2 linked regions of the Lonchura striata genome follow. The protein of the gene in region 2 interacts with the protein of the main gene of each other region in a biochemical or structural test. Links are inferred from orthologs where the notes say so. Each region holds a gene or a part of one and is shown on either strand. Other genes may lie near its edges. The genes, in order: FLOT1 and SORBS1.

Region 1 (8,916 bases), on a different chromosome or scaffold from region 2:
GTGGGGCTGGGATGTGGATCTCTGGGGCTGGGATGTGGATCCATGGGGCTAGAGATGGGATCTGTGGGTCTGGGATGGGATCCATGGGGTTGGGATGTGGATCATGGGGTTGGGATGTGGATCTGTGGGGCTGGGATGGATCCGTGGGGCTGGGATAGGATCTATGGGGCTGGGATGTGGATCCATGGGGCAAGAGATGGGATCTGTGGGGCTGGGATGGGATCCATAGGGTTGGGATGTGGATCTGTGGGGCTGGGATGGGATCCATGGGGTTGGGATGTGGATCTGTGGGGCTGGGATGGGATCCGTGTTGTTGGGATAGGATCTATGGGGCTGGGATGTGGATCCATGGGGCTAGAGATGGGATCTGTGGGGCTGGGATGGGATCCATGGTGTTGGGATGAGGATCTGTGGGGCTGGGATGGGATCCGTGGGGCTGGGATAGGATCTGTAGGGCTGGGATGGGATCCGTGGGGTTGGGATGTGGATCCATGGGGATCCAGGGGGCTGGAATGAGGCTCTGTGGGTCTCCATCAGACTCGGGGGCTCCATAGGGCTGGGATGGGGCTCTGTGTGGCCGGGACACAATTCCATGGGTCTCTGTGGGTACAATCCCCCCAGGTCTCCACACACGGCTGCATGTTTATGGCTGTGACCTCCTGTCTGACGGGACTGTCCATGGATCCTACAAGGATGGCTACGACGGGCGGGATTTCATCTCCTTTGACCTGGGATCCGGGGGATTCGTGGCGGCCGACAGCGCTGCCGAGATCACCAGGAGACGCTGGGAGCAGGAGGAGGAGGCTGAGAGGTGGACGAATTACCTGAAGCACGTCTGCCCGGAATGGCTCCGGAAATACGTTGGATACGGGCAGAAGGAGCTGGAGCGCAAAGGTGGGAGCAGAATTCCTGCGGGGATTTGGGAATGGAGAACTTGGGAACACGGTAATTCCTGTGGAATTCCAAGGGTAGATCTCACCCCCATCCCATTCCCATGGAAATCCATGGTCAGATTTCACTCTCATCCCATTCCACTGGGAATTCCATGGGTACAGCTCACCCTAGTCCCATTCTAATGGGAATTCCATGGGCAGAGCTCACCCCAATGCCATTCCCGTGGAATTCCGTGCATGAATTCCGTAATTATCCCATTCCAGAGCCCCCTGATGTCCACGTGTCCGGAAAAGAGGAACATGGGACGCTGATCCTGTCCTGCCACGCGTACGGATTCTACCCCAACACCATTGCAGTCAGCTGGATGAAGGAGAATACAACCTTGAATCAGGAGACGGAGTGGGGCGGGATCGTTCCCAACAGCGACGGCACCTTCCACACCTGGGCCAGGATTGAGGCGCTGCCGGAGGAGCGGGAGCTGTACCGGTGCAGGGTGGAGCATCCCGGAATGCTGGAGCCCGGGATCTTCGCTTGGGGTGAGGCTGGGAATGTGGGAATTGGGAATTTGGAATTCCCAAATGGGGATTCCCGTCCTCACTATCCCACGTTTCCCAGAGCCGAAGTCTGGCAGCATTCTCACCGTGGCGGTCGCTGTGTCCATCATCGCTGCCATCCTTGTTGTCCTCATTGCAGTCGGTGTCTGGAAGCTCCAATCCGGTAACACATGGGATGGGGGTTGGGAAGGGGCACGGATCCAGCCACACTGTTCTGGGAATCCTGTGCCACCGACGCTGATCCCACTTTGTTTCCACAGGGAAGAGGGACAGGAGTGGATACAACGTGGCAGCCGGTGAGTTCCAGTGGCGGATCCAGCTCTGGGTCCCCTCTGTGTGGATCCCAGGATGGATCCTGGGGTTAATCCCAGTGTGTGATCCATGCTGGAATCTCATGGATCTTCTCTTTCTGCAGGAAAGGATGTGGGAATTAATGGCTCAGCTGCAGGTACAGAGCAGGATCAGGGTGGGATTCGAGGGGGATCAGGGCAGGATGGATGGACTGGGATCAGGGAAGAATTCTGGATCAGAGCAGGGGTCCAGAGTGGGATCAGGGGGAATTGTAGAGTGGAATTGGGGCTGGGTTCTGGAGTGGGATAATTTGTGATGGATGGAGCAGGATTGGGGCAGGAATGATGGAGTGGGATCAGGGAGAGATTCCAGTGCAGGATTGGGTGGGGTGGATGGAGCAGGATCAGGGCAGGATGGGATGGGATGGGATGGGATGCATGGAGCAGGATTGAGGTGGGATCAGGTGGGATTCTGGAGCAGGTCCCGCTCCCCATGGGCTCCAGCCACATCTGTCCTGTGGAATGGGGACAGGGACAGGGTGACACTGTGATCCTCTCTCATCCTGACAGGAATCACCGCCTGAGCGATCCATGGAGCTGCATCCAGCCTCTTCCCTCTTCCCAGGAAAGCTGAGAGTTGCCAGCAGAGCTCATCCCGCTGCTCCCACCCACCCCACAACTCTTGCTAACTGATCAATTTGCTGTTTTCTATTTCGCAGTCTTTTAGAGGGAAGAACCACAAATATTCCCAGTGGTTCAGTTCTGGTAGAAATTATCCCGCTTTGGGCAATAAATCCAGTTTGGGGCAATAAATCCTGTTTGGGGCAATAAATCCTGCTTGGGGCAATAAATCCTGTTTGGGGCAATAAATCCTGCTTGGGACAATAAATCCATGTTCCCTCCTCTCGTGTCCAGCTTTTCCTCTCTGGGACGCAGGAATAGGATTGGGAGGAATGGGAACAGGGATGGGGGCATCAGGAGCAGGATGGGGACACCAGGAATGGGAATGGGGACACCAGGAGTGGGTTAGGGACACCAGGAGTGGGAATGGGGACACCAGGAGTGGGAATGGGGACATCATGACTGGGATGGGGACACCAGGAGTGGGAATGGGGACACCAGGAGTGGGAATGGGGACATCATGACTGGGATGGGGACACCAGGAGTGGGATGGCGACACCAGGAGTGGGAATGGGGACACCAGGACTGGGATGGGGACACCAGGACTGGGATAGGGACACCAGGAGTGGGATAGGGACACCAGGAGCGGGTTAGTGACACCAGGAGCGGGATGGGGACACCAGGAGTGGGAATGGGGACATCATGACTGGGATGGGGACTTGCCAGCTATGCCTGAGTCCTTCTCCTGGCATTCATTTCCTGCTCCATGCCCAATGTCTGAGGTGTCCCCAGGAGGGTTTGGCCATGTTGGGTTCTTGGAGGGACAGTGGGATGGGGGGAGGGGTCAGACCAGGCCTCGCTGTCCCCAGTGGTCCTTGAGTGTCCCAAAATCTGGGCTCGGGATCTCAGAGAGGTTCCCTGGCCATGACCACGGCCATGACACGAGCACGAGATGGCTGTGAGAGTGACCATGAGCGACACAACCCTGAGATGACCATGGATGGCCATGGCCATGACACAACCACAACGCTGACCAAGATGATTTGGACCAAGAGATGACCATGGGTTGGCCATGGCACAACCATGGCCTTGAGGTGGCCCTGATGTGATGGTGGCCATGAGGTGACAATGAAGCGACAATGACATGAGAATGAGATGACCATAAGATGATCGGGACAATGAGACGACCACAGGATGAACATGACACCACCATGGCCATGAAATGATGAAGGCCTTGAGATGACCATGACTGTGGCCATGACAGGATCTTGACCAAGAGGTGACCGTGAGATGACCACAGCACACTGTGGCTATGTGGTGATCAAGACCATGAGATGACCATGACACCTCCATGGCTGTGAGATGACCGTAATGCGGTTATGGCCATGGGGTGACCATGAGCTGACCATGAACTGACCAGGAGCTGACCAGGAGCCGGCCATGGTCTGGAGCTCCCCGGACCCCGTCACTGCCCTCACCTCAGGTTCATCCCGAACTGAAATTGTTCATTTCCATGGGTAATACGGCAATCTGAGCAGGGCGCAGCCAATGGAGCGCCGGGGAATCAGTGACGTCACAAGTTGCCAGGCAGAACAGATCTCTCCTTCCCGCCGTTGGCACGGCAGCCAATGGGAAACCGCGCGTTCGGTGACGTCACCGCGCTAACGCGGAAGTAGCGAGCGCGGGGGCTGCCGGGACAGGGGCGGTGGACGTAGGTCGTGATCGATCCCGATCGATCCCATCGCTCCCAGCGATCACGGTCGGCAGCGATTGATCCCCATCGGTCCCATCGCCCCCCGGCTCTCCCCCGCCGCGATGTTCTTCACCTGCGGCCCCAACGAGGCCATGGTGGTGTCGGGTGAGTTCGGGGGGCCCGGGGGCTCCTGGGGTCCCCCAAAACTCCCGGGAACGCCCAGAATCCTCCCTAAACCTCCAGGGAACCCCCCCAAAACTCCCAGGAACCCCCCGAATTTCCCCCCAAACACTCCTGGGGACCCCCAGCATCCTCCCCCTCAAAATCTCCTGGGAACCCCCAAATCCCCCAAAATTTCCCAGGAACTCCCAGAAACCCCAAAAACTCCCGGAAAACCCCAAAATCCCCTCGAAGCCCTCCAGGGAACCCCTGGCATCCCTCCCCCAAAATTCCTGGGAACTCCCCCGGGACCCCCAAACCCACGCGGGGACTCCTTGGACCCCTCCCAACCCCCCCAACCCCTCCAGGGACCCCCAAACCCCCACCCCGAGGGTCTCCCCCAATCCATTCCCCCACCCCAGGCCTCCTGGGGTCCCTCCCCCAAATTTTCCTCCCAAATTCCCCTCCCAAAAATTCCTGGAGGTCTCCCCCAGACCCCTCCCCGTGATTCTTGGGGATGTCCCCGTGTCCTCCCCGGGGTTTTGGGGTCCCCCCGGGGTTTTGGGGTCCCCCCCAGCTCTCGGTGCCCCCCAGGTTTCTGCCGCAGCCCCCCGGTGATGGTGGCCGGGGGCCGGGTGTTGGTGATCCCCTGCCTGCAGCAGATCCAGCGGTGAGCAGGGGCTGGTGGGGTTTTCTGGGGTTCAGGGGGGATCCCCCGAGATTTGGGGTGACCCCCCCGGCCCCCCCAGGATCTCCCTGAACACGCTGACGCTGCCCGTGCGCAGTGAGAAGGTTTACACCCGCCACGGGGTGCCAATCTCCGTCACCGGCATCGCCCAGGTAACCCCAGAATGCTCCAAAAGCCACCTCAAAGTACCCCCAAAAATACCCCAAAAACATCCCAGAAATCGTCCCAAAAATCCTCTCCTGGATCTCCAAAATCCCCTATCGGAACTGCCAAAAATCCTCCAAAAATCCCCTCCTGGACTACCAAAAATACCCTAAAAATCCCCACCTTGGCTTCCTAAAGTCCCCACTTTGGAATCCCCAAAAATCCCTTCCTGGACACCCTAAAAAATCGCCCATCAAAACTCCAAAAATCTCCTTCTGGACCCACAAAAATCCCCCAAAAATACATTCAGGATGCCCCAAAATCCCCACCGGGATCTCCAGAATGTCCCTCAGAAACCCCAGTCCTCCCTGGTCCCCAACAGCCACTGGGACTCTGAACACCTCATTCAGAGCCCCCAAAAATCCACTCAGAACCCCAGAGTCACTTTGGGAACCCCAAGAATTCCTCTCAGGACCCCCAAAATTCCCTAGGAACTCCCATAATCCTCCCCCTGAACCCCAAATATCCCACACAGGTATCCCGAAAACCCCCTCGGGACCCTAAAACTCACACTCTGAGCACCTGAAATCTCCTTGGAGCCTTCCAGAAATGCTCCAGGACCCCCCAAATTCGCCCTGGCACCCCCAGATTTCCCCGGGAACCCCCAAATCCCCCCCGGGGCTCCCCTGCCCCAACCAACCTGGGCGGCGTTGCCCTTTTAATGGAGGTTGTGGTGGGGCCCACCTAAGGGTGTTCTTAAAGCGGCAATCGTGGTGCAAAACAAAGGCGGGAAGGGGAGGAGCCCTTTAAAGGGGGTTTGGAGTGGTGGGGCCCACCGAAAACATTTAAAGGGGTAAAAACACTCCTAAAAAGGGCATTTGGGGGTGGGGAATCCCTTGAAAGGAGCTCGAAGTTTGGGAGATCCCCAAACCCTGGGATGGGAGGGGGAATTCTCCTTAAAAAGGGGATTGGAGTGGTGGAACCCAAAAAATCTTTGAGAAGGGAAAAACTCTTAAAAAACCCTTAAAAAACCTATTAAAAACCTTACAAACTTTTTAAACACCCTTTAAAACACTTTAAAAAACCTTAAAAAACTAAAAGTTTGTGATGGGACAACCTCCCTAAATCCTTCTTAAAGGGGTCAAGGTCCAATCCTTGATCAGGCTTGGGGTGGTGGGGACCCCAAAAACCTATGGGGGGGGTCTTGACCTCCCTTATAAAGGGACTTGTGTTGGTGGGGACTCCTTTAAGAGGGGTAAGACACCCCCAAAAATGGGCTGGGGTTGGTGGGGACCCCCAAGCCCCCTCCAAGAGGATGAGACCCCTTAAAATGGTCACGCCCTGGTGGTCCCCACCGTCAAGCAACCAGCCTCTTAAAAGGGCAATGCCATACCTACACCTTAAAAGGGCCGTGGCAATTTTGGGGGATACCAGGGGCGGCTGGGGGATCCCCAGGTGATCCCAGTCCCCCCTCAGGTGAAGATCCAGGGGCAGAACAAGGAGATGCTCGCAGCTGCCTGTCAGATGTTCCTGGGAAAATCGGAGAGCGAGATCGGCCAGATCGCCCTGGAGACGCTGGAGGGCCACCAGCGTGCCATCATGGCCCACATGACTGTGGAGGTGGGGCTGGGGGGAGCCATGCCCATTTTGGAGAAGCCACGCCCCTTCCAGAACAGCCACACCCACTTGGGAGCCAACCAAACACTCCCCACTTGGGATGAGATGTGTCCCTTTTAAGAAGGCCCAGATCTCAGGAGCCACGCCCCTGAGGTGGCCGTGCCCACCTGGATGGACACACCCCCTCAGGGACAGGTCACCCGTTCCCTTTGGGGTGGGATGTGGCCTTTTAAGAGACCTCTCCCCCATTTGGCCCATAAGCTCCACCCCTTGAAAGGCCCCACCCCTGGAGGAGGCCACACCCACTGGTGAAGCCACACCCCAAAGATGCCACTCTTGTTAAAGCCCCACCCACCTGCTCACAAATCTCCTTCCCTGGCCCCACCCCCTTTAAAGCCACACCCACACCTGCCCCATCCCTGTCATGTCCCGCCTGCCATCTTGGCTCTGTCCCAGTATAAACCCCACTCCATCTCACAGCCACACCCACCAGCCCCCACCCCATGACTCAAGCCACACTCCCCAGGCCAACCCACACCCCTGCCTTAATCCTGACCCCCCCCTCAGTTTGGGCCATGCCCACCTGGCTCCACCCAGTACAAACCACACCCATGGCTCCACCCCTTGCACAAGCCACACCCAACTCGCACCACCTCCTTGCTCCAGCTATGCCCGTTTTGGGTCAAGCCACACCCGTTAAACTGAGCCATTCCCCTCACTCCACCCTGGGGTCAAGCCACGCCCCTTTGGCTCATTCCAGGCCCCAAAGACTCAAGCCACATCCCCAATCCCAAGCCATGCCCACCTGGCTCCACCCCTTGGTTCAAGCCATGCCCATTTTGTAGCTAGCCATGCCCACTGGGTCAAACCACGCCCCCCTATCCCACACCTTTGTACAAGCCACACCCCCAAACAAAGCCACAGTGATCTGGCTCCACCCATTGTCCAAAGCCACGCCCACTTGGCTCAAGCCACACCCCCAGGAAAAAGCCCCGCCCACCTGGCACCTTTAGATAAGCCACGCCCACCAGCCCCGTGCCGTTTCTCTGCTAAGCCCACCTTATTTTGTCCCTGCCCCTTTGAGCCCCACCCCACTAAACCCCACCCAGTTTGAGCCTCAAGCTGTTTAGCCCTGCCCCACTGAGCCCCACCCTGCTAAACCCCACCCCTCTGGGCTGCACCCTGCTAATCCTCGCCCAACTTGAGCCCCACCTTACTGAGCTGCTCTCCCTTGAGCCCTGCCCAGCTTAAACCCCACTCTTGGGCCCTGCCCAGCCAGGCCCTGCCCCCATCTGAGCCCCGCCTCACTAAGCCCCGCCCCGGCCCCGCCCAGGAGATCTACAAGGACCGGCAGAAGTTCTCGGATCAGGTTTTCCGCGTGGCCTCCTCCGACCTGGTGAACATGGGCATCTCCGTGGTCAGCTACACCCTCAAGGATGTGCACGACGAGCAGGTGACACCTGGCATGCTTGGGGACAGCTGGGGACACCTGGGCATGGCTGGGGACACCTGAGCTATTGCTGGGGCACCTGGGCACAGCTGGGGACAGCCAGGATACACCTTAGATGCAGCTGGGGACAGCTGGGGAGAGCTGGGCACACCTGGGGGGCAGCTGGAGATAGCTGAGCACAGCTGGGGCACCACCAAGACACACTCAGGACACACCTGGGACACACTTGAAGACGCCCAGGGACAAGATGGCAACATTGGGACACACCTGGGCACAACTTGGGGCACCTAAGACACTCCTGCGATTTGTCTGGGGGGGATGGGGTGACACAGGTGTGACAGAGGTGTGACACAGGTGTGACAAGGAGGTGACACAGGTGTCTCTGTGCAGGATTATCTGTGCTCCCTCCCTCAGGAAGGGCCATATGGCGCAGGTGCGGGGGTGACAGAGTGACACAGGTGTGACATGGAGGTGGTGTGGGTGTGACAGAGGGGTGACACAGGTGACAGGGAGGTGCCACAGGTGTGACAGGGGTGTCCCCGTGCAGGATTACCTGCGCTCCCTTGGGAAGGGCCGCACGGCGCAGGTGCAGCGCGACGCCCGCGTGGGAGAGGCCGAGGCCAAACGCGATGCCGGGATCCGCGTGAGTGACACTGGGGACATCTAGGGACACACCTGGGAACACTGGGGATATTGGGAACATCTGGGAACACCTGGGGGAAGCTGGGTCACACCCCCAATATTCCCAGTACTCCCAGTACTTTCCAGTGCTCTCCCTGTGGCCCCAGTTCATCCCAGTGCTCCCA
Region 2 (8,838 bases):
AAGATGAACACAGTAAATTCCAAGTTCAAACTCTTGTGGACTGAATTATTAAAAATTTTCAAAGACAAGCAATTACAAAATGATGAGACACTCTCTGCCTAATGTATCGCATAGCACCTCCACGCTTGGAGGATTCTTAGTACAGTAACTGATCTTACAACTTGCAGGTCATTGGATACTGGCAGCAATCTTACACTGATTTTATCAGGGATTTGTGTGGAGACCATATGGTCCTGTGGCTCCAAGTGGAACAGAAAGCCAACCCTAACCTTTAACTGGCTTGCTGTTGCTGCTTTAAATGTTATTCAAACACAATTAAGGATGCTATAAAAAGAGCCTGAAAGAATCAGTTAGTTGCAGCTATTCAGTTTATGCAGAATTCATTATTCTGAGCAAATCCTGTGAAGACTCTTAAGGTGTACATCACCCAGCAGAATGGGCACAAAAGGAGACAGTCAAATGCTGCAAGAAGTCAAAAGAAAGTTCAAAGCTGCACAAGGCAGGCAAACTGCATGCACTAGTACGGGACGCAAACATGGTTTCAGTTGTCATGCTGCTGGCAGGGAGTGAGTCATCACTCCTCCCTCAAGTTTAGTATTGCAAGGAGAAAGTAATTTTAATCCAGGAATACAAATTTAGGAAAAGGGCGAGGAGGGTACTTGGCAAGCTTACTGTATGTGAGATGACTCCAGTGATTTCAGGCTTCAAGCCCCTGTGCAAAGCCCCCGTGACTGGAGGGACAAGTGAAGGTGGTGATGAGAAGAATGGCAGTTTCGGGTAAACAGAGGGTAATGTGCCAGATGTGGAGGGTGCTTGGTTATGGTGGGATCCCCTCTGGAGATGTGGGGGAATAAAATCGTCTAGAGTTGGAAAAGTCAAGGGTGAGCCAGGAGAAACAATCTCAGGGAATACGGAGCCTTGCCCGAAAGGAACCAGAGGCGGTGGTGGAGTGCTGGAGCTGCCTTCTTGTTGTCTGTCTGGATTAACCTGAAGGAGGGGGACTACTATAACTCCAGGCTGAGCTGAGGTGGTGGCAGTGGCATCCTGTTGGAAACAAGGTGTTGTTATGCATTGGGGGAGATTGTTACTTTAGTCTAATGCAGCCATATCGTGTCATGCAAGGAATGTACCCAAAATGATACAAAGCCCCAGAAGATCTTCTTTCCTTCAGGAGACATACTTCTTCAGGTTTATAGCCCTGGCCTCTATGAACACAACGTTTTTCCACAAAAATATTTATTCCCCCTCACCACCCCTCTTCTCCAGTTCTGTGTAGCGAGGCTAAATCAAACAAAGAACAGCTCAGCATCCACCATGACTTGAGAAGCTCTAGCCATTATACATTACAGAGCTTGTTTCTTTTACATGTCCCTAAAATAGAAAGATCCTCACCAGACCAACCCAACTCCCTACAAACACCACACACACATACACGAACACACAGATCAACACTGAGGGGACATATATGGGGTGTTAAATATTATCAAGTAAAAGACCACAAGACTCAGGGCAGCACAACAGGTGCTGAGAAATTAAGGTAGGAGGGGAATAAAGCATTAAGGGAACATTGTAACGAATTAAAGAACTGTTCGCTCAGCTGCAAGAAAACAAGGTTATGGAGAAAACATGTACCATGCTGCGTCCCATTGCCTTGTATGGTGGCTGTCGCTGCTGAGTAAGGTAAGGCTCTTTTCTCATCCTGTCCTCTGTGGCAGCTGTGCTCTGGGGCTCTAGCACTCTGTCCCTCACAGCTTGCGGAGCTGATGACTGAGTCCGGGAGGGCTGGCCAGCACCATAACTAACTGCGTCTTTGCTGAGAACAATGTAAAAGTACGGCCTGGGAGGAATAGGAGGAGGAGGAGCAGCAGGAAGAGACTTTTCAGTGTCTGTTACAGAGGGAACAATGTTGGTGGCCGGTGCCTGAGTGAGCTCAGCACCCAAACTGGTGCTGGCTGCTGGGTCATGTGTGGTGCCAGTGGAATTTTGAGATGCGCCTGAGCAAGTGCTGTTAGATAAACAAGCTACATATAGTTTGCTGACCTTTTTATCCGCCTTCGTCTCATGACTGGAATTCATTCCAGCCTTACTACTGGGATCTGCCCTGACAGGGTTGCGTTGTATGGATGATGCACCCGATGAGGAGTGACTTTCCAAGAGTGGCTGCCCAGCATGCATCTCATCTTTGGGGCCTGAAGAGGCAGAACGCCCTGCTGGCAAGCCTTGCTTCCCACTGGGGACAGCCCCGTAGGGGGTAGGTGATGACAAATAACAGCGTGCACTGGTGTTTGGTGATGCACGCTGTGTGTAAGGCTTGGGTGCATTCAGGTACACGCAGTCCATGATGGGCACTGGCAACAGGTTGGTCACTTTAGTGTCAGTGCGAGGACGCCATGCAAAGCTTTCCTCTTTGGGAAGAGGAGGACGGGGAGGAGCAAGGGCCTGATCAGGCAGAGTCAAGAAGGTAGGAAGGAGAAAGGAAGCAGCATCAAATGAAAGGAAAAGGAAGGAAAAAAATTAAATTTTCAGAACGAATTTGATCATTAGACTTGGGTTAAGCAGGTTTTAATACAGCAAGAATAAAAAGCAAATACAGTATCTGGAAGGCCAGTGCAGAACTCACTCATATCCATCGTCCCACACATTCTTTCTTAGCACAGCCCACTGCAGCACACAAACTTAACCCAGCCCTCAAGTCCCTGCCTACGTGTTTCTCTCTCTGTGCTCAATAATTCTCACTACTGTGTTTTTTCAAGAGGCCTGCACAGCAACACTCACCATGCCACTGGGAAAGCCTCAGTCAAGATATAACATCATGGCTAACTAAATTCAGTCTCATGCTTGCATAACTAAACACTTCCCAGCACTGGGGACATTTGAACTGCAAAGCCAAATTCAGAGTTCTAGGCCATCTCTGCATGTTAAGTGCACTGCTGAAAAATGAATATTGCCAAGTTTCAGTAATGCTAATGAAAGCAGACATCAAGTGAGTGCAGTAGCCTACTACAGCTGGCTAAGTAAAAAAGTGAGCATTTCTTCATTATAAAGGCCAGTTCTTTAATTCTCTTTAGGATTTTTCCATCCTGAAAATGCTTTCAGGCAGACCAGAAAAATTAAAAGTTTCTTGAGGAACTGAGATCATCAGAATTTGCCTCCAGAATCAACATTGTCAAGAGAGAAATCCTGCTTCTAGTAAACAATAAGAAAAGCTTTACTGGTTTTGGTATTTGGCAACATATAGCTTGCTAACTCCAAATCACCTACCTACTGCATCTCCAATTACAGTGAATTTTTTATGAAAGCCAAACTGTTTTGAGACAAAATAACAGTACAGAGTTTTCAATTTAGTTATTGCTTTTTTTGCCAGTAGCTGAAAACAAAGATCTACTGGAAAGAAAAGAATACCCACCTGGTGAACAACAGCTCCTTGGATTTTTGCAAATTAACCATTTGGAGACTGTGAAAGTAGGTTTTACAAACACCCTGTTGACATACCTTTATGGGCAAAGGCTACCTATACCACTGCTAAAAATGTCCAAACCAGAGAATGAAGATGCCTTAACAGCTTGCAACATTCAAATCTGGAAAGGTATGTCCTTTAAAAATCATCCATATATGACAAGTTGTGGCAAGTACCTATTCTTGTTATATGGATATAGATGTAGAAAAATTTAATAAAATTACAGCTGCTGTTCCAAATTCTGCTGTCCTCATGCTGCCCCTCTGCCCCTCTCACCCTTTCCCTGAAGCATAAGGGAGTGAAGAAGTGGATTGCTTAGTGCTGTTCTGAAGGGCTTCTGCCTCTGAACAGGTTCATTCCTTTTGGAATTTCTTCCATTTCAGCTCAGTTTGACCAGTAGTTCTTGAGACTTCTGTAACAAGTATTATGTATGCCAGTACTCACTCTGTTCATCAACAAGATCAGGAAAGGACTACAGGACAGCTCTAAGTATTGAGCAGAAATGTGTCTCTCTTTAGGGTGCTGCTCCTTCATTTGAGCTGTTCCTTCTTCCACTTTCACTTATGGTACCTGGTCTGTAGCATTATTAAAGGGACCCTGATGATGGGAGCAGTCACACTGATATGGGACTGGGCTTTAAAGTGACTATGCTTCACACAAGAATCCAGATTCTAATGTAGGGTTTTCTTACCAGCTTCTAGACTGCTTCTGTGCAGACTGAGCACCCAAAAAAAACCCCAAAACAAACAAAAAAAACCCCACCAAAAATAAACAACAAAAAAAAAAACCACCAAAAAAAAAAAAACCACAACCAAAAAAAAAAAAAAAAAAAACCAAAAAAAAACAAAGATGACATTGCATGCATACAATGTCAGTCTGCATTCTTTCAGCAGATTGGCTTCAACAATTTACCTTCAGATAGAAATAATCTTTCCCTTGTTGGCTTCTATCAGTTGCAGCTTTAAAACTGAAAGGCATTTCCCCAATATTTTATTTTTAATGTAGGGTGCAACTCTGATTTCAGCCTGCAGCAACTTCTAGGAAATAAACCAGCATAAAATACAAAATAATTACAGATTATTACTTCACCTTTTTTCTTGCAAATAGCGTTGTCCTCCTCCTTTATTCACCGAGGAAACACTGTGGTGTGCCTGGATACATGAGCTCCACAACACTTTGCTGACATCGGTGTTGTCCCCATTTTAAAGGCATAAAAAGCTGAGGCACAGCAACTTACCCATCTGCAGTCAAGTTTGGAGTTCAACCCAGGACTCCTGATCATGAATTCAGTGCTTGCACCCAGATGATCACCTCAGGGTCACAGAAAAAAGGCTTACCTGTGGCTTGCTGTCTGAAGAAAGGTTTGGACGCACACTCCTATAACCCTTGGCAGCCAGAGAAGATGGCTGGGCATCCCCATTGGCATCAGTGTTAGACGATGACCTCCAATCATCTGCGAGGGGAAAGAAAATTCAGATCACAGATTCCCTCCCGTAGCAGGATAAGTGAAAGGAGGGGACTCTTTTCTTCTCTTCCCCGCCACTTTCTTTTTTTTCCCCCCCAGGCAACAAGAAATAATTCCAATAAAGCAACAGAAGTAACAACAGAAGCAGCCAATGTTTATACCTGTTTCTGGGTTTTCTGGCTCCAGACCTAAGTGTTTCACAGAAAGGAGGGACAGAGGAGGTGGGGGTGGAGGATAGACATAGAAGAAAAGAAAGAGGGGAAAAAATAAACCATTACATTTCCAGAAAACATGTACCAATTGAAGTCAAGAGTCAAGCTACTTCATTTCACACATAAATGCTTTCTGACAGGGCTGCGTAATTACCATAGAGACCAGCCCTAAACATGATGTCCTCCTTGTTTCTGACCTTTGTAAACACAAGGCAATTCATTCAGAGCAATGAAGAAACAATTGTTCATTGACATTCTTACTTCAGAGGCAAAAAGGCTGCCCAGCTAGCTACTTTCTAAAGCTGCAGCTTGACATCCAGACACCACAAATTACTGGAAATTTAGGAACCCTGTATACAGATTATGAAGACATAGCTATCCTTAACAGTATTGTTATATGTGATTGAGATAAAGGATTACCAACAAACAGATCAAATTTTGCAGACTAAGTGCATGAAGGGTGTAATAAGATACAACATCACTTTATAGGCCAGTCCCTGCAGCTACCTACAGTGGTCTCATCACATATTTACCTGCTTCCCACTGGGCTCCTCCCACCCTGTACCCATTTTGCTTTTTAAGTTATATACATGAAGCTCTTCCAGCTCCAAAGTACATTTCATAAAGCGATTGAGAGAATAAGCAAAAGAAGTATTAATGAACTGATTTCTATAGTAATGGACCCATTGCTATTCAGGCTGTTGGGAATTTATGAAGTCATCAACAGAAAGGAGAGAGGCAACAGCAGGGGGTAGGAGTGAAGAAACAGAGAAAGGCAAGCATAAAAAGAGGGTAGGTCATGGGTGGAGCAGAACAGGAGTATGAGAGTAGAAAGTGGCACATTAGGGCTAGGATTAATGGATTTGCCCTTTCTCCAACAATACAATCAGAAATGATGTATGCTTTGCTTTCAAGAGCACATTTTACACCCTCCCCCTTAATGGCGTCTTGCCTTTGGGAGTTCACCTCTTTGCCAGACCCACGACACTGGCCAGGTTTGCTGTGCTTTGCCTGTCTTCTACAATTAAGTAATTACACGTCTGCTACTGAAAGACAGCAGAGCTCTGTGGCGACGCTGTCTGCCTGGGAGGACTCTATGCCAGCTTCCCTGGCAACCCAGCTGAATGCTGCAGTGGCAGTAGCACCACTCAGCTTCTTTCTGTTCCACCTCATGCCTGGGGTAAAAAGTGATTACACAGGCTGCCCTGGGGGCAGTGGGGGCGGTAGGGGAAGAAAGAAAAGAACAAAGTTTTTGGTGCTGCTGACAAACTTTAGTCAATGACTGAGCGGTCATGAAACCTGCACTAGGAGTCAGTGTCTCTACTGGTGTGGTCCTTGCAAGAGGTTTCCAACTATGCTATGGAATTCTGGGCTTTAAAGCAAAATTATAAAGCAAGCCCAAGATCCTGGACTAACCTGTCTTGAGGTTACTATGAATAACAGATGCCAGTTAACCTTCCACCACTTACTTTCAGGTTGCTCAGCATCCTGAGGACATGGTGAAGTGATATTCCGATTCCCTTCATAGGATGGAGTTGCCCGGAGAGTTACAGCTCCTTTTCCACTGCAGACTTTTGTGGGATCCATTTCTACAGGAAATGCACATGCACAGAAGAAACACATAGAAAGGGATGATGCAAAGCTATCAGGAGCCATCAGAGCTCTAGAGTAATGTTAGCATGGTTGTCTCCAGGTGAATCAATCTAGTAATGTTTGTGCAGATGAAGATTAGCTCTGTATTTATAGCATTGAGAAATCAAAGCAGTTTTATATTCATGTAATCGATGAATGTAGCAGTTAAGTTCTGAGTTGGTGCAAAGGAGGGAAGAAAAAGGAGTGTTTGAACCAAAGGTCACAGGTCCATTTGCTTTATTTGTTCTACTTTGTACAGAGATACTGTGCTAGAAAGGACAGTCTTCCATTACACCTACAGCTCTTTTATAGGTATGTGACAGTGTTATAATGCACACACTTTGTGTGCCAAAGCTTAAAAATGCCTTTTGTGGAGGACTGAAAGAGGAAAAAAAAAAACTTTTGACCACTGGAAAATAAAATCTTGTAACAATGCTGAATATGATCAAAAGGCAAGGCACTGCAAGTCACCTCCCTGCCATCTCCCCACTTCATTGCAGTGTTTCACCTTCTGACACAGGAACCCAAATCCTATAAAGAAGGAAATTTCACACATGCCTATTCAGATCAACCTGTGATCATGATCAGATAACAGATCATGCCAGCATCCTTGCTGAGGCACAGTTCAGCACAGCTTCTGTGCAGGCTTACCTTTGTGTATTTCAGTCCATGATATGGGTTTTCTCCTCCTGTCATCCTATTAAGTAATAACAAACCAGTACTTCAAAACTACCTCTCTTTCTCCTCCTACTTAAAAATCTTTCTGGAGAGTTGTTTCCTTTAAGATACTTCTGGAAATAATAAGCCTGAAAAGTTTCTTGTTTCTCTAGGCTATTTCCATACACAAACACATCACCTCCTCTTCTCATGCACTATTAGTGACCTGCAGCTACCATCAGACCTCACTTACCTACACAGAGGTACCAGCCCTACCGTGACTGCACAGGGAGAGTGAAAGGTACTGAGCACATGCTGCACTACACAAGTGACAACACAATAATTTTTATTTTTATGGGTGGAGGATCATGCTGTCTCTGCATGGGGACAGATGCAGCTCTTCCCCAGGAACTGCTATTATAACAAAAAATGATGCTTTCAGAATGGACAGAGGGGACAAAAGCTGTTGTTTATTGTCCAGGCAACTGCCCACATTTTTACAGATCAGTATTCCCTGTCAGATTTCAGCAAGGCAATGCCCCACCAAACCCACAGTAGTACAGTGCCTAGAGACCATAGTAACACCTTGGCTGATGTTGCAAACCATGCAAACTACAGCCAGTGTGGTCACAATATGGGGAAACATCAATATGTTAGATGGACAATGGCAGTAAGAGAAGAAACTCAATGAATGTCAAACCCCTGTCTCTTCCTGAAAGCCCTCTGTGCTGGCATCTCCACTGTTGAAACCCTTACATGGGTTTCCAATGCTTTAGGGATTTCACAAAAAGCATCATTTTAGATCCATACTTAAGACTATAAAAAAGATGGAGTAAGCAAGAAATCAGAGCTTACTTTCCTATAGTTCAGCCCTTAGCTAACTGAGGCAGCATTGAGGCAGCCTCTGTGAGGAGAAAGACTATCCACCCAGACATATCAAAAGGTGTTTCATCCTTAAATATACCACAGCTGGTCACAACTCAAGGTCACCCACATCCCTGGTGAAATAGAAGTTGACTTCTCTGACTGATTTTTGCACGATTCAGGAAGGGTCAAGATTCCTTTTGCCCAAGAGTGCATTTCTGGCTATCATTCCCATCCACATGGCACAACACAGAGCCCAAGGACTCTATGGACTCACTTTCAAACCACAGGACAAAGATGTAAGCTCCAAGACCCCAGTTTTAAGACTGCTGTAACAGTAAAGCATGGACACAATGTTGGGAGTCACTAGGCCTGATATAAACATCCACAGAGAGTGCAGAGTAGCTGTCTTCCTACAACCCTATGCCTACATTTGCTTCACAGGCACTGGAGAGAAATGGAAACAGAGCTCAACATGTATGACACGTCAAAACAGTATCTTCATCATATTGGAGGAGAATCAAATTTGGGAATGAATTCTTTTTTTTTTT

What was found.
Region 1: the proteins of SORBS1 (region 2) and FLOT1 form a complex in vitro, tested with the Homo sapiens proteins (2 studies listed by BioGRID). The link is inferred for Lonchura striata from reciprocal best matches to the Homo sapiens genes SORBS1 and FLOT1.

Annotation. Positions count from the first base shown.
Region 1 is NC_134631.1:1,365,616-1,374,531, reverse strand, and holds the start of FLOT1 (flotillin-1), read left to right. Parts: upstream 1-4,052; 5' UTR 4,053-4,174; coding exon 4,175-4,217; intron 4,218-4,805; coding exon 4,806-4,881; intron 4,882-4,960; coding exon 4,961-5,051; intron 5,052-6,519; coding exon 6,520-6,663; intron 6,664-7,993; coding exon 7,994-8,113; intron 8,114-8,657; coding exon 8,658-8,753; intron 8,754-8,916. Other genes in the region: class I histocompatibility antigen, F10 alpha chain, read left to right, coding at 622-894, 1,158-1,430, 1,510-1,611, 1,709-1,744, 1,864-1,896, 2,309-2,322. UniProt on the Homo sapiens protein: May act as a scaffolding protein within caveolar membranes, functionally participating in formation of caveolae or caveolae-like vesicles.
Region 2 is NC_134609.1:12,968,498-12,977,335, reverse strand, and holds the start of SORBS1 (sorbin and SH3 domain-containing protein 1), read right to left. Parts: upstream 4,212-8,838; 5' UTR 2,341-4,211; coding exon 1,633-2,340; intron 1,045-1,632; coding exon 673-1,044; intron 1-672. UniProt on the Homo sapiens protein: Plays a role in tyrosine phosphorylation of CBL by linking CBL to the insulin receptor. Required for insulin-stimulated glucose transport. Involved in formation of actin stress fibers and focal adhesions.